Struthio camelus: one gene and its partner. Each later gene encodes a partner of the first gene's protein in a complex. Links are inferred from orthologs where the notes say so. Each region holds a gene or a part of one and is shown on either strand. Other genes may lie near its edges.

Region 1 (9,559 bases):
TAGACCAGAGAATAGAGATATTCCACCTACAAAATAAGGCCAAGACTTTTGGAGAAAGAAAAAGTAGTTCCTAGAAAGACTACTGCAACTGAGGCCACGAGGAACCACAGCCCTCTTCTCTCCACCCCAGATAACTAAAGTTCAATTACTTGATAATCCCATTATTCTCATTATTATTCAAGCCACTTTGAGTCTAGGTTTGGGGAAGCAGTTCTTTTTGTTTTCCACTCTCCAGAAAAAAAAAAAAAGTGCTCAACAGCAAAATTCTTGTCTTTTCCCAGACTTTTGTGGGCTGCCATTCCCCACACATATAGAAGGGGTGAATTTGGAAATTACAGATTTATACCCTTTCAGATCGGCGAGTCATTTTTATGTTTAATTTTTTCAAAATCAAGGGAAACTTCCCTTGCGAACAAGCTTCAGTCTCAGAAACACCAGCTGAGGGATCACTGAGTGGACAAAGTGGCAGAACTAAGACCAGGACATGGCAGTTACTGCCCGTTTTCTCACCTTCTTACTGTAGATGCAGGCAGAGCCCTGGATTAACAGAGCTGCTTCTATGAAATTCATGGTGGTTTTGCCGCCGTCAAAGGAAATACAGATTTGGTCCAACTGCAAAACACACAAAAGGAGGAAAGCAAAACGCTGATGTGCAGATTGGATTTGAGGACAGCACAGCAAGAGGAGAAAGTTAAGAGAGAAAAATCATAGCAAGATGCCTAACATAGTATTCGAGGGACTAGATGTAATAAGTAAATGCAGAGAGAGAGAATACGTTCTTCCGCTCCCAGTAGCCTGAGAAGAGCTTTTCTGTCAATAATCTCACTTCTCCAGCCAAGGCTGCGCTGTGGGGAGCATGGTCCCTAGTGCCACCACAAAAACAGGGGGAATTCAAAAGGGGTGGCTGCAAACGCTGTTAGATAACATCCTCGAACTTCAGCCCATCGCAAGCCTAGATCGGTGACAACACGGCTGCGCTGCCCTGCAGCCTGAGACGGGCGAGGGTTGCAGTGTCGGTGCCGCAGCCAAGGGACTGCCGGGACAGCGAAGGACGGAAACCCCAGCTGCGCAGGCCGTGCTGAGGGGCATCTCTACACAAAGCTCTCCTCCCACCACAGCACTGTGGTGAACAGAGAGCCTCCCTTACCTCCTCCAGGTACTCCCCCAGCTGAGCAGCCACATCCACCTCCCAGTTCTTGGTGAGATCGCGAATGGGCTGCAGGAGGTGCAGGAAGCGCGACTCCACATCCTCCATGGCGACCGATCCCTGGAAAGGCAGAGGTTACAGCTCACTCGGCAGACGGGCAGACCCACAGGATCACTGAATAACCTGTTTCTTGACGAATGCTGTTTGTAATCCCAGAGTTGAAGTTTGATGCGTCACCATTCACTTAGAGCCAAGCGCAGCTTCAGTCTTAGGGTAGTTAGCTATTGTAAGAACCTGGAGTCAACTGATATCTTTCAATTTCAATAGAAATAAATGTTGTAACTAAATATACCCCACAAAAACCAGACTAAAACCAGACTAGCACGTAAGTTTCCCAAGTGGGAAACAAATGTCTTCTATTATCTCATCAAACACCTGTAGGTAAATGAGAGCACAACATCAGCTAGAAAGCCAAACATAACTTTCAAGCCATTCTCGGACAAACATCAACAGTAAACACTACCATCCATACAGTTTGTCCGGAGCAGGAACCAGGAGGCATTGACTGAACTTACAGACTCCTTACACAGAACTACAGGAGATCCCTGCCCAGCTTCTGCCTGCTCAGATGTCCAAGTGTAACTTCACATGCAGGAAGAGCTGCACCAAAGTCAACAAAGTATTCACGGGAGTAATGATTTGTGCGCTAACGAACCACCTCCTGCAAACATTTACAGCCCAAACCTAGTAACTTGGGCTTACAACCCAAATCTAGTAATCCGCAACTAAGGGCGGACTCCAGCATCTCTCTGGGCTCTCCAGCAGGTCTTGCGTGGGGTGGTGCAGGTGAATCCAGAACTGCAGACTCTACGGCTGGGATCATTAGGAAACGCATTCATTTCAGAGGAACATCCCAGACACTTACTCCTATTTCCACAACAGCAGACAGAAATTGCACTCCCCCCAGCAAGACTATCAGCACTATACGGATGAAATCCACAGCAGCATAGGGAACGGGACCAGTAAACGTTTCGTCTTCTGTCCTTTTAAATCGCAGTTAGGCCAAAGAAACATAGCTATAAATATGAAAATAAAAAGCTCACGACACAGGGACAGGGGAGACGGTCTCTCACTTCGCAGGAGGTCACTGGCTGCTCCCCGATACAGCATCAAAGCCTCCTGAAGAAACACGCGCGTGTCACCCCAAGCTAGTCGGCACAACGCTGTGCCACGCTTATCACGCTCCATCAAAACTGGCTGCAGAGACGAACGCTCAACCCCCTGCTCCCCTCCAAACACCCGCTGCGCCCCGCTCCTGGGAACGCAAACCCAACACGCGTGAGAGCAACGATCGCGGCAGCGGCACCGCGCTAACACGCGGAGGGCTCTGCGCCGGCTGCCCCTCTGCGGACAACGTCCTGCTGCTCCAGGAACAGCCCGTACCGCCCCCCTCCTGCCAGGGGCCGAGGCCACCCTGGCGCTTCTGCCTGCGTTTTACGGGGGATAATCAGCTACGCGAAGTAGGAGGAAAGCACACGCTTTACTCCATCGAGGAAGGATTGCTGAGGAACTGTGCGAGCGTGGGCTCTCTCTGAGGACAGGAGCCCCACAACAGGCAGGAGACAGACATCAAACGCGCTTCGCAGCGCAGAAGCGCGGCCCAAGGGAGCAGAGCCCAGATTCCCACCTCTCTGGTCCGAGTCCCTGATGCGGTGACGACACCTTTTATTAGATGAAGTGACAGAGGTGAGGGGCAAGGGAGAGCCGGGCTGCCGGAGGCGCAAAGCAAGGCGGACGCCACCTGTTTACCTCTCCGCCTACCCTCCGCTTCACCAGTGGCTCCTACAGAAGTTATTCCCGCTCCCAGCGAGCCTCGCTTCTCCGCTCACACCGGGAAACGGCGGCTAAACTACGAACCCCGGCACCGCGCAGAAACCTGCCCCGTAGGCCGGCTCCGGACCGGGTCAGAAGAGGTCCACCGGGGCTCGCACCGGCCGGGCGCCCCGACCTGCGGCCCTTCCGACCGGCTCCTCCGGAGAACAGCTCTGCCGGAGGCAGCCGCCTGCGGCCCGCCGGGCCCCCCCGCCCCCGCCTGCGGCCCGCCGGGCCCCCCCGCCTGCGGCCCGGGCCCCCCCGCCTGCGGCCCGGGCCCCCCCCCCCGCCTGCGGCCCGCCGGGCCCCGAGGGCGTCCAGCGCGGCCCGGGCCCCCCCCCCGACTCGCGCTACGGGTGCTGCGGCGCCTCCCCCATCACTCCGACCCCGGCGGGGTGGAGGGGGTCCCGGGCGGTACCGCGCTCCCCCGGCGGGGGGGTCCCGGGCGGCACCGCGCTCCCCCGGGAGGGTGGGGGGTCCCGGGCGGTACCGCGCTCACCCGGCGGGGGGGTCCCGGGCGGTACCGCGCTCACCCGGCGGGGGGGTCCCGGGCGGCACCGCGCTCCCCCGGCGGGGGTGAGGGGTCCCGGGCGGTACCACGCTCACCTGGCGGGGGGGTCCCGGGCGGCACCGCGCTCCCCCGGCGGGGGTGAGGGGTCCCGGGCGGTACCACGCTCACCCGGCGGGGGGGTCCCGGGCGGTACCACGCTCACCTGGCGGGGGTGGGGGGTCCCGGGCGGCACCGCGCTCCCCCGGGGCAGTTCCCCTCAGCGGCGCTCGGCCCCGCTCCCGGCCGCCATTTCGTGCTTCCCGCCCGAAGTGACGCCGGCGGCGGGCGGGGCGGGGCGCGGTGACGTCGTGGCGGCGGCGGCAGGCGGGCGCGGACGTGTCGGTGCCGCCGCCGCCGCCGCCGCCATGGGGGAGCCGCCGCGCCGGCCCCGGCAGCTGTTCCTGGCCGGGCTGGCCGCCGTCTACCTCGCCGCCTTCGCCTCGCTCTACGTCCAGATCCCCGGTACGGCCGCGGGGCGCCGGCACCGCGCCCGCAGCGAAGGGGAGCGGGCGGCAGCGGGGACCGGGGGGGGCACCGGGGCCGGGGGGGGCCCAGTTGGCGGGGGGAAACCGGGGCCGGGGAGGGGGCTGGGGAGGGGTGCGACCGGGGGTGGGGGGGGAACCGGGGTCGGGGTGAGTGACGGGGCCCCGGTGCCGTGCGGGGGCGGGGGGACCGGCTGCGGCACCGGGGCTGCGGGGGGGGGGGTGACCCTCATCCGGGGCTGGGGGGGGGGGCACCCTCGGGGGCCGCCAGGCTGCGAGCAGAGAGGCCGGAGCAGCCGCTCCGTTACGCGGCCCCGGGAGCTCGGTGCCCGCGCGCGGCCTCGGCCCCGGGCAGCCCGCAAGGTGGAGCGGGGGCCGCGGCTGGGCACGCCTCCCGCCACCGTGGCCGCCGGCCGCCTCTCGAGCCGCTCCGCCGGGCTGCCGGCGGCCCGGGACTCGTCCGCCGCAGCCTGTGGTTTCCTGACGCCTCCGCTCCCGGCTGCGCGGAGAAGCAGGAACGTGCCTGGAAGAAATCGCTGCCGGCGTGGCTTTCCTGCCGGCGCGGGGCCAAGCGCCGTCCGGCTGCCTCCGCCGTCCCGGCCCTTGCTGCCGGGGGAGGGAGGCCGAGGCGCTGCCAGCCGGGGGGAAGGCTCCGGGGCCGCTGGGGAGGGAGGCAGCGCCGGAGCCGCGTCTCGGAAACGCCGGCGGGCCGAGCCGAGCGCGGGGCCGGAGGGCGCAGAGCCTGTGCCCGGCGCGGGGCCTGGGGAGCGGAGCCACCCGCAGGGCAGACCCCCGCGCGGGGCGGTCGGGGGGCTCGGGCTGGGGCGAGCGGGACGCCCCGGCCTGCCCGCGCCTTTTCGCGGCCACGTCCTCCTCGCGCCGCCTTCGAAGGGCGTTGCTGTAAGGTCGGAGGAAGGCCTGGAGAGCGGCGACGCGGGCAGGCGACGGCCAGGCAGCGCCCGCCGCCCGGGAGAGGGGTCGCCTCCGAGCTCGGGGCGCGGAGCGGTGCGGCCGGACTGGGGAGGGAGAGAGACCCCCCCCCCCGAGCCTGGGGAACCCTGCGGCCGGTGGTGGCCCCGCAGGGCCCTCGAGGAAGGGGACCGGGGGACTGTTTTGGGGGTGTTAGCGATGTTGAGGGAGTTACAGGCTCTCCTGTTGAACCAGTAAGGAGGGATGAGTTGGAGGTCGTGCCGGAGCCGCAGGCAGGAACGCGCCAAGACGCGAGCGGAGCTCGGGCTGGGGAGCGTGTCTGGGGCTTCTCACCCCAGGGGCGAGGAGAGCCGGGACGGTCGCTTGCCGGGGGATGCAGAGCGGCTGCGAGTGTCCCTCGGCCGCGCGCTGGCAGGGCTGGCCGGGGCGTCCTCGCTCCGCCAGAGCCCTTGCGCGGCCAGAGCGAGGAGGACTGGGGCTGAGCTGGGCCGGGGCCGCGACCTGCCTTTGCCGTGGGCCCCCGGATCCTGGGCGCCCTGCACCCATCCGGGTCCGGGGTGAGGCGATGCTGAGTGCACCGAGGATGCAGGGCCATCCCCTGCCGTCCCCGTGCCCGGCCTGGGTACAGGCCGGTGCCAGGCTTTGCCAAAACCCTGCCGTGGGGGCTGTGCCACCTGCTCCGGCAGCCTGGGCTTTCCCTCTGCCCCAGCCTTCGCTTCGCAGCCCAACTCAAGGCCTGTTTTCCTGCTTTCCTGCCAGTGGGTTTGGCCCGAGGCCAGGTGAGCGGCCACGTTCTCCCCTGCTGCGAGTACCGTGTCGAAGCAGCTTAGCTCCGGGCTGGGGGAGCGGGAGCTGCTGCTGTCAGCCCTCCCCCCTTCGGAGGGGGGTCGCGCCCTTCGTTCGCACGGTCCCGCAGAGCAGGAGGGCCTGACCGCCTTTTGGGAGAGGGCAGGGACTAGGGCAGCAGGACGGCCCTTCCTGGGGCCCCGCTGGGCTGCCCCGCTCCCGCGTGGGTCTCCGCCGCCCACCCAGCTCCCGGCTGGTCGGAGCTGCCGTGCGCTGCGCGCTCAGCGGGAGAGCCCTCCTCTCCCTCCCTGCTGGCAGCTCCTCTCCTGGCTCGCTGGCAGCTGCCGAGCTCCCCGTGGGCCTTTCCCGCTGCCGGTTCTTTCCCTTTCGGGGGGTTTGGCGCTTGCTCTGGGCTGCCTTTGCCCTGGGCAAAGGGCAACGTGCAGGAGCAGCAAGCCCTGCTTCCCTCCAGGACTGGAGATCGTCCTAGGGCAGGCGTGCTCCTGGAGGGGGGTCTCTGCGGGAGCCCCTGCCTGTTGATGTGGATGCACCGGGGTGCCCAGTTCTGCTGGGGCATGGGGGGTGTTAGGAGCCGGGAGCAGCATTGCTGGGGGCAGCCCGAGAGCTGCAGCCTGCACGAAGGGGCTGAGGCCCTAGGGACTGCGCGGTGTGTCCGAGAGAGTGCAAGAGGGACCATGTGGGGCTGGGGTGTCCTAGAGAGCATATGTGTCCTTGTGGGGAGCTGTGACCTTGCTGTGACAGTCCTTCCCTGCCCTCCCCAGGGCTGTACGGGAAAGATGGCATCCTGCCGGCTCGCAAGATGCTGCGTTTCACTGGGAAGGGGCTCTGGGAGCAGCTGCGTGACTTCCCCACCCTGCTGTGGCTCAGCCCGCGCCTGGGCCTGGACACGGAGCTGGGCATGGAGCTGCTCTGCCTCGTCGGCGTGCTGGCCTCCTTCGGCGCCCTGGTGTTCGAGCCCCTGCGGGACAGCCTCGTCTTCGCCCTGCTCAGGATGCTCTATCTCTCAGTCTACCAGGTATGGGCGCGGTGTGCCAAGGGGGGCTCACAGCACCCTGGGGGAGTCAAAGCTGGGACCCATCAGGGCAATGTGCTGGGGAAGGGGAAACTTTCTCACGTGAGCTCCTGACCACGTTCAGCTCTGCTTGCCCACGTGCTCTCCGAGCTGGGGGACGGTGCTGGCTGCTCCCCAGATCTCAGGATCTTGCAGGCAGATATGCTTCCATCTCAGCTCCCAGACCTTCCTTGGGGTAAAAAGCTCCCAGATCTGCCCAAGGGTCTGGAGCCAATTCCTACGACGCTGGGCCTTGGCAGGACGGCTCAGTCCTCTGGTTGTTCGTGGCCTTGCCGAGCGGTCCGTGAGCTTAGGCTGAGCAAGGCTGCTGCAGCACTTGGTCCCTTCCCCGCTCCTGTGGGGGGTTTCACAATCTCAGTGCCACAAGCCGCAAACCCTCCCTCTTGCGAGCCGTTTGCATTCACTGCCAGGGCCTGGCAGCTCTCTGCTGAGGAGCTTGGGTGAGTCAGAGAGGCAGAAGGCTGCACGCACAGGCTGCTGGAGGAGGAGGGTTTCTCTTCCTTCTGAAACCAGGGGAAATAAAGAGAAAACCAGCTGTGCTTGGAAATCCCTCCTGGGCCAGATGTCTGCATTAACCCCAGGAGTGCTGCACAGCAGGAGCTCTCCCAAGGTCCTGCTTGGCAGCCTGGTTGGAAAGCAGCCCAGGACGTTGGCTGCAGCTCTTGGCAGTCTCCTGCTTGCTGGGGCTCGGGAACGATCCCTTTCATGGCAGCGACAGCTGCAGGGAAAGGGATTGGGAAGCCTGGGAAGCAAAGTGGCTGGTCCAAGGGAGATGGGTTTCTCCTGTGGTCGGGGGCTTTCCTGGAGAGAGCTGGCACTGCCACTGCAGTGCTGTTGCTGTCCCCTGCCCTGTCGCCTCCGTCTCACTCACAAGCCTCCCTGGCACGGGGCAGCCGTGCCCCACAGAGCTGCTGTGAGCGGTTTTCTGTGCTCCCCTCGTGCAGGCGGCCCCATGGCCCCGCCAGCCTGGCCCTTGTGTCAGGCCCGAGGAGGGACGGGGTGGGGGGAGCCTGGGCTCTGGCGATGACTCACTGCCGTCCCCAGCTACAGCAGGGAGAGGAAGCGGTGGTTGCCCAGAGCCAGGAAGCCCTGGGTAATGGGCGGCCCCGTGGGCCCCCGTCTGCAGGGGCTCTGTCTCCCCAGTGCCGCTCTGTCGGAGCGGGGAGTCCTGCCGGCATGACCAGGGCCGTGCTGAGGGTGCTGTGCTGCTCTGGGAGTGTGGCGTGCTCCCAGCACGGCCTCCTGCCGGCCCCAGGCGTGCCAGGCCCTCACCATTCCCTTTTAAGGTGATGCTGGAGAAGAAAGTCCCTTTTCCTTTCCAGAGCTCCAAGCCTCCCTCCCCTCTGAGAGGCCCTGACCCGTGCCTGCAGCGCTCTGCACTGGTGTGAGCGGGGTTTGCAGCCTGGTTTGCTGTCGAGTGCTGCTCTGCCAGTGCTTCCCTCTAGGCCTGGCTGAAGCATCGGCGGGCAGGAGGTGCAGAGCCCTGGGGCTGCAAGCACCCGTGCAGCAAGTCAGGGTGGAGCAGGGCTCCTCTGCAGCCCCCCCGGTCCTGACCTGCAGCCTGGGGCTCCCCGGACAGGTCTCCATCCTTCCCCCTTCCCCGCCTCCTTTCTGCTTGCCAGGAGATTGCCTTGATCTGACAAAGTGATGTCCGCATACCTGGAGCACGGCTCCACGTAGAGGAGCTGAGCCTGTCCTGGGCTGTGGTTCTTGGCACTGCTGCCTCACTGGCACGTTTGACCTGGGAGCATCCCCTTCGTTCCTCTGCCCTGGCCGGCAGCCTCCGCGGTGGTACAGCAGCTCTCAGCAGCATGTTGAGGCCACAGCTCTGCTCGATGGGTTTGGCTCGTGGCCAGCCATGGGAAAGGAGCTGGCATCGTTGCTGGGAAAGCACTTGAGAGAAAGTCACAGCTGCCCCTTGGCCTTTCTAACTCCCTCTCCATGGGGTGGGAGTTGGGAAGGGTCCAGAAGCAAAGCCTGCGAGTGTGTCTGCTGCACGGAGCTCCCCAGCCCTGCTAATCTGCTCCATGCTCCCTCTCTCCACAGGTGGGACAGGTGTTCCTGTACTTCCAGTGGTAAGTGAGCCTCCGGCATGGCTTTCCCAACGGGCCTGCCCCTCCGGAGCCGAGTGTCGGTCCTGGATGGGGCATATCAGCTTCGGGACGTGTGGCAGTACGGAGCACCCTGTGCTTCGTGGTTCAGAGCAGCGCTCGTTCCACGCTGAACAGAGCTGGAGAAACCACCTTACCCGTGTTGCACTGCTGCAGCTGGGCCTGGGCCCCATGAACGCGGGGTGTGCACAAGCCCCAGGTCCTCAGGGGGTTGGGAATGGTGGGCGGGAGGGCTGTGTCCCATGGGCACGCTGGTGACCTGGGTTGCTGCCTTTGGAAGGGGGTAGCAGGTCAGGCAGCTTGTTGCCACCCCATGGCAGCCCCTGGGGTCTTGGTCCCAGCGCAGCCCTCGCTGCCCCAAGGGGTGCATGAGGGTGCAGCCTGGGGGAAGCAGCAGTGAGGGACCGTCTGGTGTTCCCCGCAGGGACAGCCTCCTGCTGGAAGCAGGTTTCCTGGCCGTGCTTGTGGCCCCCCTGCACCTGCTGAAGTGGCGCTCCACGGCCTGGCGCGCCCACGACAGTGTCACCTTCTGGCTGGTGCGCTGGCTGCTCTTCCGCCTCATGTTCGCCTCCGGCGTGGTGAAGCTGA
Region 2 (10,317 bases), on another chromosome or scaffold:
ACTTTTGGGAGTGGAGCATGAACTAATCCTAGCTTAAAAGCAGTGAACAACTGGCAGTCTCCTCATTGCACCCCACTCTCCTCCTCTGCTCAGTGCACAGCTGATACTAACAACACTGAGTTTTGTAATGAGGTTAATAATAATACCCTAGTCAGTTTGCCAAAATATTTTTATGAAACATATAGTCGTGATGCCCTAGGAAATAAAACAACTGGTACATGTAATTCTGCGATCTGAAACTTCTGGAAGATCAAATTTTGAGTTCACAACAAATTTAGTATGCATCTGTCAGCAATTCTCTTAGGTGTTTCATGCCTTAGGTATTTGGCCTATAAAATTAAGAGTTGATTATAATAGAACTCTGTAGAGGAGGTAGCACAACTTCAGTAAGATGTCGTGCAAAAACTTGAAACCAGTCAGAGGCAGGCAGAAGTCAAATTACAGATCTTAGTAGTTTTAAGACATGAGTGAGGACGTCAGTCTTCACTGATATATTTGAAACACAACCACGCTGTAAGTATTTATTTCCACTATTGGTAGAGTAGTTCAAGAATGAGGCTAGAAACTCAGGGTATCTAACAATAATGAAATCCATCTGGGAGCAATACAGTAAACACATGGGAAAAAAGATTTTTAAAGGGAAAGACAACACTTCTTCTACTAGAAGAAATACCTTACAAAACAGTCTTTTTTTTAAGCACATGATCAGAAAATATTTGCCAAGCCACATTGTCACAAGGTTCTTGTGATACTAAAACTGTTTGTTCTATAGAACAGGAATAAGTGACAGGTGTATCTAAACTAGGAAACTTGGAACACTTTCAAGTGCCTGACTCCAGATGCACTCTTGCTATATCCCACCTGAGACACCTGAGCAAGTATTACCCTCCCTCAGGTCCCTGTTTGCTAGCTTATGCACAAAGCAAACCAGGCATGAAGCCTCTAGGAAGAGCATGGTACGCTTCTGCTAAGTTCCTGATCTGGATTAGGAACGTGGGGAAGGCCAGTCTCCCAGCCTTGACAAGATCTACATTAACATAAGGGAGAAATAAATGTTGGTGCCTTAACCAACCAATGTAAAATAGTTTTATAACTATATATACATGTATATACACACAGATGTATGCACACACATATATTCATATATATTTATATAAGAGAAACTATTTTCATATATATGTGTGTGTATTTATGTGTGTGTGTGCACGTGTAAATTTATATAGAGAGAAGCAAATCACATCCATTCTGACATTTGTACAATGTATTCATGTTTTATACTAGATAGATGGAACAGTGATCATCTCCTATTTGATGGATGTCTACCACAATGAAGCCTTTAAGAGTGCTTTTAAAATTAATAGCAGTATTTATATACTTTACAAATGATTCTTCTCTTTATCCATAAAGCCTAAAATAGAACAAGGGTTGAAAGGAGACAAAACGCTTCCATGAGCTGTTTATCTCTAATGATTCATACTGTTAAAATCAATAGGATTAAATTAATTTAGACAGAGCAGATGTGAATGTAGCCTTTTGAATGTGAAAAAATAGACAAACTAGTATTATAAATTAACTCAGTGATACATGATATTCTGAAAGATGCTCGTGATTTTATACTAGAAAATGTTCATTGTAGTTATAATGAAAAAAGTGATACTCCTTGTTTGAAATATTCAATTTTTTTTTTTTATACACAGGTTTGCCTGTATTATATTTACAGTAGAATGAATTTAGCCGTGAAAGTGTTATGTAAGGATAATTTATTTTTGTTGGCATTTTACAGCATTTCAGAAGTCTCCTTTTCATTTGCATGGCACTAATCGTTAGCAGAGTAAAATTACTGTGATTTGTAACACCACCTACAAGGAAAGAAGTGTAAAAGTAAGAGCATGAACAAAGTTGGACTGAAATTCAACCTGGCGGGAAAAGCCCGTAAGACACCCAGCAGTACCAGCTAATTCCCACAGGGTGGCAGTTCAGTACTTCAGCAGCATCTAGAGTTACTCAAGGGAGCAGCTAGTCAGAAAAGCTTTTGCATTGCCTGTGAGCGTTTTATTTCCTTATATTTTTGTCGGAGTTAACAAGGACTTTTTTTTTCCTTCTGTAGTAAATGTTTTTTTTTTTCCCCCCACTTAATCTCTTAAACTCTAAAATCGTTTCCTGTTAATATTAATAATTTAAAGGAAGTAAGCAGTTTCAAGGTCTAATCACGCCACCATCGAAAACTGTCAGTTGCCTTTGAATAAAGGATGGCATGATTGACAGTATTACCTTCAGGCAAGGGGAGATCTGGAGAAGTAGAATAGCGGCAAACTTCATCTCTCTCCCATGCTGTTCAGATTATTTATCAAAGTATATGAAGATGAAAAAAAATCAAGGGAAATGAATGCATGTAAATTATTAACAGCCTGCCTCAGAGGATGAGCAGATTTTGTGGCTACCGTATTAACTATAACAAATTATATTATATATTCAAAAGAAAGGAAATGGGAGTAGCAATTCTAAAAGGTTAGCATATAACACATACAATGATCTCCTCAGAAACTATTATCTAGAAAATAACACTGTAAATAGGAAATAAAAATAACATAAATGTCAAGAAAGCACCTTGACACTCAGGGAGTAACTTGTTTATTTTTACAAGGATTTATAATGTTGAATCATACAGGTTAAAATAGAATATTTGATATAGTCCGAACTACGAGATTCTTGTGAAATCCATTTGTAATTGAGATCTGTTATACAGGCCACTGACAAGAAAAAAGAGTAGTTTATGATGAAGCAGTAGTACAAAAGCAAATCTTTATTTGCTGTTGCTCAGCAACCACGTGCGGAGGGCCCATTTTTCATTTTCACTTTAACTTGACTTGACAGGAAAATCATAATAAATACGAGATTATTATCAAAGGATATAGATTATTTTGAACAGATGAACAGACATGTCAAAAAGAGGCATGTAATTTAGTAGCTCTTGAAAGGCAGAAGATTAGGGAAACTGAAAATAGGGTTGTAGCTTCATTACTGGCTTACGGTTCATACACAATTCTTCCAGCCCTCCTCCCCAACCCCGAAAGACCCTACCAAACTCTATTCTGCATCTCTGGTTTCTCTACATGGTTCTTTAAAATGAATCTTTCAGTGTTACTCAGCCTGCTGTTATTTGTGTCAACTTTTAGTTTCCATAACATGAAAGAATCATTCCGTGGTTGCTATGCAACACAAGTCATAAGCTAAAATATGTTTTAGTTTGTTTGCTAAATGGATGTGTGCCCGACTAAATAAACAGTAACCAGGTGACTAATGTAGCATCTAATTAAAGGACTAATCAAGGTATTAATGAAAAATTCAGTCCACACGAGATAAGATAATCAAATCCATCAGTTCAGTTCTAAAATGCCAAAGATTTGTAATATATGCAAAAAGGATAGACATTAGCACAACAAATGTCCGTTTTCATACTTTTTATTTACTTTTACTACCGTACAAGCATGATGATTGCTCCTACAATGCATTTCAAGCAAACTGTTTCATGGCCTTCTTGCCCTTAGCTGACTACATAACTTAAACAAAAAAAAAGCAGGTCCATCAGATCTGAAATAACCCTGATCCTTCTTCCTTCTTTCCGCTGGAGCAGCAAAAGGCTCCTTTTGTGGGGGTGGGGGGCTGCTTCTGGAAGGCGATGCCTGCTGGCTGTCTCTGCCTAGGGCTGTAGGACAGATCCTATTTCAGGTGATCGTCCCAGAATCTCTCTCCTGGGACCCTTCTCTGTGGTTGCCAGTAGGTAGATGCTGGCAGAGATGCTGGTAGATGCTGTGGAGAGAGATATGTTTATTTAGATGTGGGAGAAGAGAAGGGGTAGCACTGAATTGTCAGCATGGGGAAGAGACGTTATGATGCTCAAGAGTAGTCTCCTGGCTGCTAATTCCTTCTGCCATATTGTCCCTTCCTTGAGTAGATGACCAACTTAATTAAAAATTGCAAATAGTACAACCCATTCTCCAATTGATGCTTACAGTAATTTTTATCTGGCAAATAATTGCTTTATCTGGCAAAGAAGCTTTCTTCTAAAACCCAATGACTGCAGAAGTTTCACATACATTCTGCTAATGATTTAGGAATTTAAACAGCTTTTATCTTTGTTTTCAGTAACATTAGTCATCTGTTACAAACATTTTTGAAGCAATATAGAAGAGCATTAATTATACAGGATAAGCACCAAATAGATTTTATTTTTCATCTTGTAGTTTTGAAACTATGTAAAAAAAACAGTTAAAGAGCTTACTCAGAAAACGTCAAAAATTAAAACAGGAAGTCTTTCAGTCAAACATATATGGGAGAAAACGTTACTGTTGCAGTTTTGAGACATAGCAAGATTAAAGTGGATTGTACATAAAAAAGAAAAAACATTACCAAAAAACATAACTATTTCTTCAAAAAATAGTGATTTTGTACATATAATATTCTTAATTAAATGAAATCTGAATCTGATTTTGCTTTTTAAAATTACACTCTGGAAAAGTTCAGTCAGATGTGAGAACTCTTCTAGAAAGCGTTGATTCTATTTTTTGTTTGGAAAGCAAAGCAGCATATGCAGTACTACAGTCATACACTCAAAGTAAACAATTCCAGTCAAGCATCTAATTCTTCAGAACAGCTAAGAATGCTGGGAAATATTGAAAAATATAATGCTACTGGGAATGTAAAACTGAAAGATATAAATTAAGCCCTTAACGAGACAAAGTGACTATTTCCAGTTTGTAGAGGAGCTCCGACAGGACAGCGAACACAAGAGAATTGAAAGCTGTTCATGCTTAATTCAAGGAGCTGAGTCCAAACACTTCTGCCCACTGCAAAGTAAATTTGAAAAGAAACAAAAAGCACCTATTTCCAGATAGATTTTAAAAAGTAAAGCATTGTCAAACTGTTAATATCTTCCGGCCCGCATACTTCCCCATACCTTCTGCTGGGTAACCTGCTTAGCTTTTTGCTGCTTTGGATGACAAGTACATAAGGCCTGTAGTAGTGTTCACTGTGACCGAGATTGAAAGCGTAGCTGTCAACACTAGCCGTTAAGAACATTTTCTGAGAAAAAGCCAATGTAATCAACTGGATGCTGAGTGCTTTCTGAGTAAATAGCACATGTTTTGGTAAGAATACTGTGTCACTGCCACCCCAGATCCATGGAAGAAGGCATGCTGTTTCTTCAGCATATAAATGAATTTAATTAAACGTGTCTTATCCCATTTTGAAGGGGTTGTGAGTTATGAGATGGCTGCAGGAAGACAACCGTAGGCTCGTACGTAGATCTACACCTCGCCAGCTTCTTCGCAGTAACCGATCCGTCGCCTCTTCAGTGAAGGAGGGGGAGGGCAACTAACTAACGGCTGCGCCGGCGCGCGGAGAGGGGCGGGGCCGCAGCCACGCCCTTCCCGCCGCGGCGCCGGGGCCCCGCCCCGCCCCGCCCCGCCCACGGCCGGCGCGCGCCAGCGCCCCCGCCCGCTCGCAGTGGGGTTGCGAGGGAGGGGCGGTGGGTGAGCTCTCGCGAGACGGGAGCGGCGCGCGCCCGCCTGCGCCCAACGGTTGCCGCGGGAGAGTTCGAAACCGCCGGGAGAGCGCGCGGCGGCGGCGGCGTGTCTGTGTGAGTGCGAGCCCTGGGCGGGCGGGCGGGCAGGGCGCCGAGGCCGGGGCAGGAGGGCTGAGCGAGGTGCCATTCCGTCTCTGAGCACCCCCCGGGGCTGGTGCCTCGTCCGGCTCTGGGGAGAGGCGCGTTAGTGGCGCGGCGGTTGCACGGACACCATTTTCTTGGGCAGTGCTGCTGGGATACTCGGGCTTGCGCTCCTTTGCTTCACTGCATTTAAATAGTGAGGTCGCCTTTTTTGTTTTTCTCCTGTGTGAACAGCCAGAGGTTTTTGGAAGCTTTACCTATGGATCCATGAGGATTTTTTTTCTGTGATAGTGCCAGGTAAGCCGCCCTGGCAACTTGCCACTTACTTCCTCTCCTGTTCGGGGTCGTACAGCGGTCTGTGGGGCCATGCAGTGCGCCTGGCAAAACGTAAATTACTAGTTAATTTGGATCAGTTCCTCATCATCCAGATCATGGCTTCACAGACGGGCACGTTTGAGAGAAAGCAGCAGAGGCTGTGTAAGGTCGTCTTACAGCTGATAGGGGTAGGAAAAGCTTCTCAGGAATCACTTCGGATGGAAAGTTGCATGTGAGTTAAGCTCTTAGTGTTAACAAGTGATCTTGCCGGTTTCCCATGGCCTTTTCTTGACAAGGCAGAGAAGGAGGGAACCTTTCCAATAAGTAAATGCTGCTGCCTGGACTGATGGATAGCTAAATAGGGGATGTGTGCTAGAAAAGTTATTCTTGTTAAAAGTGAAAGCATCAGTTAAAAAATTTACTTTTAAGACTCTCCTATTTAATAAATAAAGGTATTAAAAACACTACTTACAAATACTAGGGTCTTGTGCAGTTATGAATCTAAACCCTATAAATCAGTTTAAGGGGAGGAAGAGTGTCTTATAATGACTTGGATGAAAAATGTGAGTTTTTAATACTTTTTAAATACATTTTCATTGGGTCCAAGAAAGATCTTATTGTGAGATGCAATACTCTTCTCTAGTGTTTTTTTCTTTTAGGTTTATAACGCAAGGAAAAGAAGGACCATAATGAAGCGTGAAGCATTTTTACAAGTTGTGTCTAAGGACTCAATTGAAGAATTCTTGCGTTTTACTCAGATTCCTGTAAGTAAACCACGATACACGTTCATGACTAAGTCTATTAAGAGTGCACAAACTTTTTGTTTCAGAGGGGCAACAAAATTTTTCTCCGATACTTTTGTATGTGCTAGAATAATGGCAGGTAGGCAGATATAGTATCACTGTTGCAAAAAATGGCACTTAATGGAGCATAGTTGAAAAAGTTGAGGAATTTGAAATTTTTCCTGTGTTGTAAAACAGCCTGTTTTTTAATACTTGGTTGTTGTATATAGCTTGCAGTTTTAAAATAATGATTACTGCAACAATAATACTAGAAAATATTCATCTGATACTGATAAAGTTTTTTTTTTTTAAATGTTGACCTGTAAAAGAGTAAATTTGTTGCTGTATAATCAATGCGAGCTAATATACAGGCATAGCAAAGGTATGTTTCATTAGCATTTGTTCATCGGTTTGATAGTTTAGGCTCTCTACTTCTTTTTTTGTTAATATACAATTGTATTTAATAGTTCTTTCTATCACTAAATGTTCTAGAGATGTGATAAAGAGTCATAGATTGCTGCCTCTAAATGTAGTATGGAGAGAAGTAGGGGGAGGAACAAAACGAATCCAGTGAAATCTACTAATTAAAAGTTCATTCTCCTTTTGTGCATGCAATATCAAAAATAACAATTTGCATTGTGGTATTTTCCACTAAGTTTTAATCTGGTATTAAGACATGCTAGTTCTCCTGAACATCTCTTGCTAACCTTAATAGATGATATTGTCATGTTTGTTTCTTAAGTTTTCTCTCTAGCAGCCTCTCTGTTCTATTATATAAAGTACAATATTGTGAAGAGAGGATCTTGAAGCTTTTTCTACTTTACTGTCTGTATATATTGAAAGCTAAAGATATACATGTTTATTTTTAAGACTTAGTTTTAATTCTACAACTTAAAAGGCTTTGTCAGATATCTCTGCTTTTTTACGCTAACTTTTTCTAATGCTGCTTCACTTCTCATTGTTTTGCCAACATCCCTATCTACCTACCTTTTATCATCCTCTTTTAGATACTAATAAAATAACACATAGATCTTTATTAATAAAGTCTTTTATTCAGTCTCAACTAGTATTTGTTTTTGTCTTTTCCTGATCTAACCAGTATTTTCCTTATGTTCCCTTTGTCGGGATAAAGTAAGTGGTACAGCTGTACTCTGTCCATCAGGCCACCAATTAATTTACTAATGTAGTATAGATATGAAACCTATCATGTTAATTTACTAATGTAGTATAGATATGAAACCTATCATGTCTAGAGAAGATATCATGCACCGCGTAATAAGCTTAGAATTGTTTGTCTCCTAAACCTCATTTAGAGTCTCTTTGTCTAAGTATTTTGTGAGCTTTTCAGTTGCGCTCCTGTGTGTAACTCTAGATGACAACTTTATTAGCAGATTGCCGTTGTTTGAAATCTCCTCCTTGCCATTATTTTCCCACTTCTCCCCAAATCACTTTGAAAATAAATTATCCTGTTTAGGATAACTTAGGATACTTCCTAAGCTTCCTTGCTGATGGTCATGTTGTTTCTGCCTTCTCCGTTCACTAACCTATCTTGACATACCTCTTGGTCTGTTCAGATTAAAAATTGCTTTTCCATCCCTATACCTTGAAGAACAATATGGTGTGTGTATCACTATTTTTCATCGCCAGTTCACAAGAGTTGTCTTGCAACTGTATACAGCTATCTTTATTGCTTGTGAAACTGAATCACTGCCAAAAGAGAGCCCTTTAGTGTTTTTAGAAATAAAATGATTGATTTGTCTATTTTGCCACAGATTATTAGCCTGTATCCTTTTTGTTTCTAGGTTACCCCTTGCCAGTATTTCTGGAAACTGATTATCACCAACTGTAAAGAATGTACTGATTAAAACTGCCTTCACTCCTTCATGTTATAAGAGCACAGGACTATCCAGATAATTTTTTCATTGTCTAACAGACCTGAGTTATTTTATTCATTTCCTCTCCATACTTTCAATGGAGAAGAATATCTGACCATGTCTCATCTTAGGAGTGAACACATTCCTAAAATAATTCTTAACTTCATTTCTGGAGGAGGCTGTGGTGGTATATTCTGTTCTTTAGAAGCTGATGTGTAGGTATGGAAAGGAGAAAGGCTGATTAGAGCCTCTCTGCTTTCCATGCTTTTCATATTGTATTTGTGCAGGTGGAACTAGGGTTCTACCTATTTTGTGCTCTAGCTTCAGAATTTGCCTTTCTTCGTTAAAATAAAGTTTTCTTTTTGGCATTGCATATCTCTCTCATTCTTCCCTTTCTTTTAATCTTCTTTTTCCTTCCTCTCATTGTTTTGTTTGATTCAAATCTTCTAAAATTCTAGGGATTTGCTACTTTCCTTTTGTTTGCTTTAGGCTTTGCTGTTTTCTTCTTTTTGGTTTTAAAAGGTTGCTATTATATATTATGGTACTACTTCTCAAAATCTTTATGAAATGCTATTAAATTTTCTTCTAAATTCTCTTCCAATCCAAGAAAATACAATCTCTCTTAGCCATATATGTGATTTGTATTTTCTTTTCTATCATTCAGTGGCATCCTTTTCCCTAATAGGTTTTAGAATAATTCTACCTCGGCTCATCCCAAGGAAAGATCAAAAAGCTCTAGTGTTATTATGAATACGTTCTTTTTGTTCAAAACAGTGCAATCTTAATATCCTATCTTTTGGGTATGTTTGAAGCAGAGGCCTGCAGAACAGCCTGTGCAGCCTTCGGTTTATTGTATTTGTTTCCAGCTGTACAGTGAAATAGGCATTCTGCTATAAATGTGTAACAGGATCTTTCTTCTCTTAGCCTTTTGGGAACCTTCTAATTCTAACTGCTACTTCTTTCATTATTTTCTGTTTTTCTTTTTCCCTTCAACTTTTTTTATTTTTGATTCTTTTTTTAATTACGTTTGCAGACTAAAATATTTTTATTTCAAGATCATTGACCTTCTCCCTCTTTCCTACGAAATATTTCTAATCCTATAGACCTTGACTTCACTATTGCAAATTGCATCTCAAAAATTATCAGTACCTCTTGACTTTGTCTGTTTTTTCTTTTACTCTATTTTTTCCTCTGCCTTGTTCGCTGAATGTTCCCTTTCCTAGCAGGTTATTCTTCTTTGACGCTGACAGGCTGTCCGCATCTCTGAGTTGCATTCTTCTAGCAAGGTTCTTCGGAGGAAATAGTTCAGACTGGTCTCTTGGTGAAATGGATATTCTACATAAACCAAGGCAGTTCCTTTATGTAATTAAATGGCTTAAAGATGGCACTCCTCTTGGAAGTCTGGTTTCAAGGATGTGCTGCCACTTAAGGTTGCCTGTATGTACAATTAGAAGTGAAAGTATATTTAAGGATGTTAGCAGAAATTATATATAGATAGAAGAGCCTCCATTCTGAAGACTCCTGTAGTTCAACCGAAGTGCCTTCTGCACTGATTGGGCCTACATGCATGAAGACTGTTTAATGCGGTGCCCACTGCCTCAACTGACCAAATTGTCAAGTCCTCTCTTATAGAGACTAACAGTGCCTCAGGGTCCCCCAGATCTGTTTTTCCATTAAGTAG

Evidence for each region. Proteins that work in one complex are often made in the same cells at the same time.
Region 2: the proteins of NCAPH2 (region 1) and NCAPG2 are in contact, whole or in part, in a cryo-EM structure (PDB 9F5W), measured with the Homo sapiens proteins. The link is inferred for Struthio camelus from reciprocal best matches to the Homo sapiens genes NCAPH2 and NCAPG2. Residues at the interface, in NP_689512.2 of Homo sapiens: Pro316, Trp317, Gln318, Ser319, Leu320, Pro322, Phe323, Asp324, Ser325, Leu326, Glu327, Ser328, Lys329, Pro330, Phe331, Lys332, Lys333, Gly334, Arg335, Pro336, Tyr337, Ser338, Val339, Glu344, Gln360, Asp361, Phe362, Gln364, Trp365, Tyr366; in NP_001268861.1 of Homo sapiens: Lys248, Leu251, Gln252, His292, Ile294, His295, Leu296, Pro297, Arg299, Ser300, Val302, Lys340, Ala341, Arg342, Asn343, Ser344, Glu345, Val346, Pro388, Tyr389, Pro390, Arg393, Gly425, Glu426, Ala428, Phe429, Asp430, Thr431, Ser432, Arg437.

What each region holds. Positions count from the first base shown.
Region 1 is NC_090942.1:745,957-755,515, forward strand, and holds the start of NCAPH2 (condensin-2 complex subunit H2), read right to left. Parts: upstream 3,861-9,559; 5' UTR 3,733-3,860; intron 2,327-3,732; exon of another isoform or gene 2,073-2,326; intron 1,268-2,072; 5' UTR 1,256-1,267; coding exon 1,148-1,255; intron 613-1,147; coding exon 511-612; intron 27-510; coding exon 1-26. Other genes in the region: LMF2 (lipase maturation factor 2), read left to right, coding at 3,935-4,031, 6,550-6,803, 8,907-8,935, 9,396-9,559. UniProt on the Homo sapiens protein: Regulatory subunit of the condensin-2 complex, a complex that seems to provide chromosomes with an additional level of organization and rigidity and in establishing mitotic chromosome architecture.
Region 2 is NC_090943.1:11,768,275-11,778,591, reverse strand, and holds the start of NCAPG2 (condensin-2 complex subunit G2), read left to right. Parts: upstream 1-5,542; 5' UTR 5,543-5,638; intron 5,639-5,899; 5' UTR 5,900-5,962; intron 5,963-6,623; exon of another isoform or gene 6,624-6,639; 5' UTR 6,640-6,669; coding exon 6,670-6,744; intron 6,745-10,317. UniProt on the Homo sapiens protein: Regulatory subunit of the condensin-2 complex, a complex which establishes mitotic chromosome architecture and is involved in physical rigidity of the chromatid axis.